Drosophila melanogaster: one gene and its partner. The protein of the gene in region 2 interacts with the protein of the main gene of each other region in a pairwise test. Each region holds a gene or a part of one and is shown on either strand. Other genes may lie near its edges.

Region 1 (3,757 bases), 800 kb from region 2:
TCAAAAATTCGATCACCTTCCTGAGTTTCATTTTTGACATATTATTGCTAAAATTGGATTTCAACACTTAAAACGTGTGTTTGATTAATGACATAAATCGCTAACACAGCTTCTAAAAGATGTGTAGATTAAAATTCAAAACAAAATTTCGATTGAAAGCGAAAAAACTTTTTTCAAGTGCGTTTCGGATATCTCTTTTTTTATCTGGTGTGTATTCTAAATCGAAAAGCAATGAAGCATAGATTATTTTTGTGAATTAATAAAAATTACAATCGGTTACAAAAAACTATGGAATAGTTTTTAAGAGATCATACCAAAAAATGATGGAAATGACGACCTCCGAATTGAAAACAGGAGTCAACTTTCATGACAAACGTACATAAATCTGCGAATATTATTATCCGAACATACATACATATCTGCTGATATTATTTTCCATGAAAATTGCAAAAAAAAAATTTTTAAGACTCACTCAAAATAGTTATACACTATTCTTAAAGTCTAAAAATTCTTACTTTTCTTTCTCAGCTAAAAAATTTACAAATAACTTTTACTAAATGGTCTGACAAAAGAAATCACTAGTATTTATCTAATATATCTTTATTTATGTTGGTTGTTAAATTCTTTTAGTTACATGCATATGTACATATGTAGTAAGTTAGAAACTATTAGCAAAGATCTTAATATGTTTTTTTAATGCTTTCCAATTTAAGACCGAAGTAAATAAATCCTGTTGTTTTACTTTAATCTTACAGAGTTTTCTTATTATCGGGGTTTCAACGATTTAAAAGTTTGAAGCTTGTTGAAGTGTTCGCACTTTCGTAATTTGTAGGGAGTAGCATGCTAACATCTGACAAGGTCAGCGATTCAGCAATTAAAAAGTTGAAGAAATACCATTATCAGTAAAATTAAAAAAGTATAACATTATTGCGCAAAGTAAGTGGTAGGCTAAACCAGTGTAAGCTTATGAAGGCTAAATATTTTGATTTCTTTATAAATTTGTTAACTTTAATATATATTGATGAAAAAGGCAATTTAAATAAAAAAAGTTTTAATAAATAACAAAAATAATGTCAGATACAAGCAAAATTTTGTGGTATAAGAAATATAGAAAAGAGCGATTAATATTGTAGTTTGTTTGTTTCGAAAATTTTACCTAAAGTGTAGGCAATTTTCCATTCCAGCCCGTCGTATGGGAAAATTTTAGAAAGTACGTTTATCTATCTACATTGGGTCCAATATGGCCAGTTCCCTAAATCTGTAGACTTGCACTGCTCTTTCTCCTAAACCATTCAATTTTTCTTTAGTTTGAATATTTATTCCCTTTCACTTTATTTGCACATACATATGTATTTAATTGTGTATAATTTTACTATTCTACTTCGTATGGGTTGAATAGGTAAAGACGGTATTTAAGTTTTAAAATGTTTTGATCCATATAATATATGGTTGGCCAAATAATCAACCTATAATTCTAATATATATATTCTTATGAAAACGATAACGGAAAGCAAGTGTGGCAAAACAACGTTTTGTCCTGCAAAACATTCCAATTAATTTACAGTAAAGATACCCAAAAGATCCCCCAAATCTTTGGAACACCCCTTGGAAATATAGTCATGTTTAGATGTATACGAGTATATACGTATTGCACTTAAATAATCATTTTAATGAAAGGAATATGTACTGTCGACAAATCACAAAATGATATTTCAAGACTTCTTAGGTGAAAAAAATTACCAAGATGGGATTTCCTTACCTTTCTTAGGTTGATTTTGCTGTGAGTTGGCAACACGTACTGCAAATACTTCAGGAAAATTGGAAAATGCACCCCATATCAGGAACGAAATAAAAGTTTGGTAAAATCCGTTAAGATCCATGGCTTTCATAGTTGTATGAATGGCGTATAATTTTATTTTTCACTATTCTTCTTGTATTTTTATTAATTCCTTTAAGCTATTTAACAATACTTTGGGTGGATGTTCACAACATAAGACTATATATTTTTAAAGTATGTGTACTAAGCAATAGCAACACCACCTGAATTGATTACGGCTTAATGAAGTACGAGCAACGCGTTTAAGCACCAAACTGAAGCGGTAGCTACATACGTACGACTATATAAAATGTTTAAGTAGAAAAGTTACTGCAAAACGAGCTTACGAATGAGCCAGGGAAAGGAATGGCTCAGTGAATCATGACATGGCTCAGAGAGCGCAAGAAATTGCAGCAGCCAACTTGATCACGATCTCAGAGCAAGTTGGTCGAGTCTAGAGCTGCCGCAACCTCACAAAAGCTTTACCAAAGCATAGAAAAAGAAAATGAAACGAAATATAACGGATCTTTATTGTATTGTTGTTGCCTAAATCATATGAAGGGAATGTTTTAAAGTTCAGACAAATAGATCTCAAATAAATGAATACTAAAGTGCTGTGCTGAGATTTTTGCATGTAGCTTTTACTTTTACTTATTAAAGGTTTACATATGTATAGGGCACCTTCAAAAAGTCAGCACATATATGCAAATTCTTAAACACGTTATAATATACTTGTTTAAAGTATTACTACTATTATAAACAAATGACATGTGTACAAAAATCAATTGAAAAGAATTGACGAAACTAAGAGGTATGCAACACATGACTACAAACATAAAATGCTAAATAAAATAGCGCACCGAAAGTGTAAATATAAATACATACGTAGAATATTAAAGCTAGTTAGTCGTTGGAGATGAATGCATGTTTCATTTTTTTTTATAAAAAGAATAAGAACAATTTATGATCAAATACAACAAAATTATAATTTTCTCTGTAATATTTTTAAATAATTGATACAGTGGATGCTTATCAAATAAGAACCAAAAACATATGTTATCAAAAAGTGTTTTAAAGTGAATAACGGCACTTTAAAATTATAAACAAGAAATGGAACATATTTTGTTATGTTTTGTTTTGATTATTCCAATGGTTATATCGTTTTCGTTCCGACTTCCAAAGTATATAATTAATAGGTAAGAATGTATATGTATAAAATAGAAGAGGAAGCACATAGATTTATAATTATACATAATATACGATACTAAATATATGAATATGTATGCATATGTACATACAGCTGCGGTTAAAATAATAGCACTACTGCAGATGGAAAGTTGATTTGCTAAAAAAAAATTATAAAATGTTTATTTTTTTTTAAGTCAGATTTCATGAATAATAAGTTCCATATGTTGGCTCTCTGAGCAAGAAATTTTTACTCTCTCAATGTAACGGTTCTTTTTGTTTTTGGGCACTTGCTGCAAAAGCGCGCGAAATGAGACGGTAACAAAAATAGCACTGACCACGTATTTGTTGAATAAAATTAATAGGAGTGATTTGGGATTTTTTTCGACAAATTTTGAAAAAAGGAGTTGTATTAAAGGTTTTAATTGAATTTGTTCCAAACGAAGACCAAAAATTCTCTAGTTATGGGTCGCGAAAAGCATTGTACCGTCGAAAAAAGAAATTTGATTAAAAACATGATCTCTGAATGTAAAACCTACGCTGAAATTGGTCGAATTGTCGGGTGTTCAAACAAAATGATCCACAATGCTGTTTGTCGAAAAGGACGAAACACGTGGAAGAAAGCCCTCAATGTCCAACGTGGAGATCAAGCGCTTGGTTCGGCAAAGCAAGAAGGAGCCTTTTAAGCCGGCGACGGAACTGAAGAAGGAGCTTCAGATAGCTGCAAGCGTGGAAACAGTTCGCAAACGCTTAAGA
Region 2 (3,757 bases):
GCGGGACCTAAACCAACAACAGCCGGGACAAAAACTGCAGCGGCAATGCAGCAGGAACAATGAAACAAACGGTCTTTTGGCTATTTCACCCATCTTATATTCTAACTTGTCCTACGCACATTTTATATAGCTCCCTAAAAACTGAGAGAAAATGATATAGCCTAAATAAGGAAAATTCAAAATACTTAAAACCAATAAACTTGTTACTAGATAAGTTCCTTCATAATGGCTATAGATAATAGTAATTAACTATTTTGGAAGTAGCAACCTGATTTCTTTCAGAGGATAAGAAAAAAATTACTTTTAAAAAGGTAGTTCCTTTTAAAATTTTATACATTTTCTATAAACTGTAGTGAAAGTTTTTATAAGTGTATCAAGTTAAGAATGCAAACGGGAACCATTCACCCACTACTTTAAAATTGTTAAGCCGCCTTTTTTCAACTTTTCAGTTTTGCGCTTACTTTCCTTTCCATAAACGGGAAACTCATAGAACAAGACACTGTAACCATAATCCACATGCGTGTAATACCTTTAATGTCACTTTTAGCTAATATTCGGAGTGACATGAAAATGAGAAAATAATTTTAATTTTGAATTTTATTTGGGAAAAAATAGCTTCGTGGCCGAATCTTCCTTGTATCTGTTACTTTTCAACAAATCTATATAAACATTTATGTATATATATTTAAACATCTTCTGGCTTGTTTAAATTTGACTACGGTTTCCATGATACTCAAATAAATGAGTGTCTTGATAGAAAAAATGAAAAAAATATTTAGTTCGTAATTACACTTTATAGTGTTTTGTAGGAAAGTGTTAACTTTGTGACAAAGCGCACCAGGGGAGCGTTCGAAGTGGACTCCTATTTTTACTTTTTCTATTAAAATCTATTTTTAATTTAATACTTATAGCAGCTCCATAAGACAGTTTGATTTGTTTTTTGGCAGTTCGGGTAAAAGAGCCACTGTGCATCGAACTGCTAACCCACATATCCGACCCGTTCGCCCCACCATTATTATCCCTGGAACCAACTGCCCACCCCCACCACCGCTTTTGACGAATTCCTTCGGTTGGGGTGAATAATATGCTCTCCGAAGCCTAAAAGATTGGCAAGAAATTTGAAGAATGAGAGGAGCCAAAAGCCTGGAATCTGACATGGATGTTTTGTGTTGATTTGTATATATGTTTTACCTAAGATTTTGTATATGGAAATGCAAATGGAAATATTGCACATTCGAAAAGCAACAAAAACTCAAAAAGGCCGGGCAAAAAAATAAAAGACTGGCAATTAACTTTGACTTCTGAGGGGCACGCGATAAAAGTTATCGATGACTGCGAGAACGGTTGGCATGAGGGGTCACTCAGGAAAAACAAATTTGATTGCTTAAATGGCTCCTAAAATTGAAAGCAAAAGTGGAAGTCAACTCGATAAGAGAGGGTATACGGGGACCACTCTTCTGGTCCATATCCTATTAGAAGGTTGAAATGCACTTAACGTTTGTTTATGCACACACACACAATTAAGAAACTACTCTTGTCCAAATACTCTGCCTGGACTACTTCCATTTCTTCATAGCTTTCCAACTGATTGCTAACTTGTGTGTGCTCGCGAAAAACAGAAACCCTAGGAACAGCTGAGTGTGCACACAAATCCACACGTGCTGCGCCTTTAGACAAAACAAAAATGAATCTTAAGGACAAAACACTTACCGCCCAGAAAGCCCCACGATTGCTCAGTGGCGACTTGAACTTTGTTTTCACTTTTCGTTTCGTTGTTGCCGTTAAATTCGCCACACTCTTGATAAAAAAAAAAAAAAACCGTAAAATATGATTCCGTTCGCGGAGCTCTAATAAGTGCGTCAGTCTCCTGCAAGAAAACACTTACAACTAACATATTTTTATATATATTCTCGGTTAACAGAGCCCACCAGTGTTGCCAATTTTAAAAATGAAAAAATTAGTAATCGAAAAACAATGAAGTTTATAATAGTATGTACATATGCATATGCATAACTGTTGTAAGAAAACAACATAAAATGAAGACATCTTGCTAATATGAGGGATAATGTGATAATGTTCTATTTGGCGAGCAGAGGTTTCATATTTTTAAGAAAGAGCTACCACACTGGGTCTTATCGATTCAATTAACAATATGAACAGCTTCTGATGGATTGCACACGCTTGTGGAAAAAAAAAGATGGAACAGCTGACCGAGAGTTAGCATGTTAGCAGCTAACAGGGGACGGACCACAGATGTCTTAACAGCACTGGTACACAAATCGCTTTACAGCACGCTGTTAGCGGGACTACCGATAATAGTTGCTGTCGATAACAGATGCTGCCATATGTGAGAAAGAAGAAGAGCGAAGAAAACAGATAACTCCAATGTTTGCAAAACAATTTGATTAGTCTTGAAGGAATCCGCTTTAGGCTCTTAGGAACCCGCTTTATAGCGAGCACAGGCACGCACTGGCACACACAGCAAGCAAAGAGTGACAACATTATCCGTGAAGTGGACATATGGCCAACAAGAACATGCGTAACACCACAACCAAAGTGGAGGCCCTGATTGAGAGCTGTCGCAGCGAGGGCAAGTGGCACCGGGTCATCGAGCTAACGGATGAACTGAAGACCGGGTCCCCGCACAATGGTAAGAAGATTTCCGCTGATGACGGTACTCCTGGAATGACTGCCTTCTTTCGTGGAACAGAGTGCCTGGCCAACTTTCTGGTGGGGGAAGCTCGTCTGGAGAGTTACCTGGAGGAAAACGCTCTCGCGTCAGACTCAAATTTTGGTCGCGCCAAGTCTGGATTGGCGGAGGCCCGGCGTTTCCTTCACTTGGCTTTGGGTGAGAGTGGCCAGAAGGCGGGCATCGCCCTGGACGCCTATTTGCTGCTGGCCAAGCTGTGCTTTGCCTGCGGCGAGTATGAGCAGAGTCTAGACAATTTCGTCAAGGCAGAACTCAACACGCTTGCCGAGAAGGAGCTGACCCTGTAAGTTGGGAAAAGGTTTTCTAATCAAAATGTTCTCATCTACTACGTGGGGACTTGCAAATTAAGATGAATGTACACATCAACTCTTAATTAATAGCAAATTTGCAAAACTTATCACTTCTGCTTACATATATATAAAAGTCGCAGCCTGAAGATCCTTGCGGAATCGTATGCCATCAAGGGATTGTGTCTGGAGCAGCAGACTACGAAGCCGTCATCTAAGTTTAAGAAGGCCGAAAAGGACACGGAAATGGTAAAGTCCTCGATTTCAGTTTTAAAACGTAACTGATTTAATAATTTCTTACTCCAGATTAGCTGTTTTGAGCGCGCATCTGATCTGGGGCTGCTCTATCTGCAGGAATACGATCTCGTTAGTGGAAGCAGTGGCTCGTCCAACAACTCGACAGCTGGTTCTACGTTGAATGTAAACGCCTCTACTGTGCAGCCGTCGAGCAGCAGTTTTGCAATCAGCAGTACAATACCGGCGAGTGGTCCAAGTGGACTGGAAATGAACCGCAGGATGGGCGCCATCCTAGAGACCGCCCTGCAACGGGCACCCATAGTGCTTATTAAGACGGAAAAGCTTCAAGAGGCCGTTGAACGGTATCGAATCATGCTAAACGCCATCGAAACGAGGGCTACTCAATCGTTGCGCCTCACGCTGGCCCGCCAGCTAGCTGAGGTTCTTTTGAGAGGGGTCTCGGGCACGATTTACTCGCCTCCTTTTACCGGAAAATCTGGAGGTGGGACGCTGCGAGGAGGAT

What was found.
Region 1: the proteins of bin3 (region 2) and stw interact in a two-hybrid assay, tested with the Drosophila melanogaster proteins (one large-scale study listed by BioGRID).

What each region holds. Positions count from the first base shown.
Region 1 is NT_033778.4:5,412,084-5,415,840, reverse strand, and holds the start of stw (straw), read right to left. Parts: upstream 2,098-3,757; 5' UTR 1,890-2,097; coding exon 1,760-1,889; intron 1-1,759.
Region 2 is NT_033778.4:6,212,705-6,216,461, reverse strand, and holds the start of bin3 (bicoid-interacting protein 3), read right to left. Parts: upstream 1,895-3,757; 5' UTR 1,711-1,894; intron 266-1,710; exon of another isoform or gene 1-265. Other genes in the region: Ttc7 (tetratricopeptide repeat domain 7), read left to right, coding at 2,521-2,650, 2,711-2,993, 3,135-3,246, 3,304-3,757.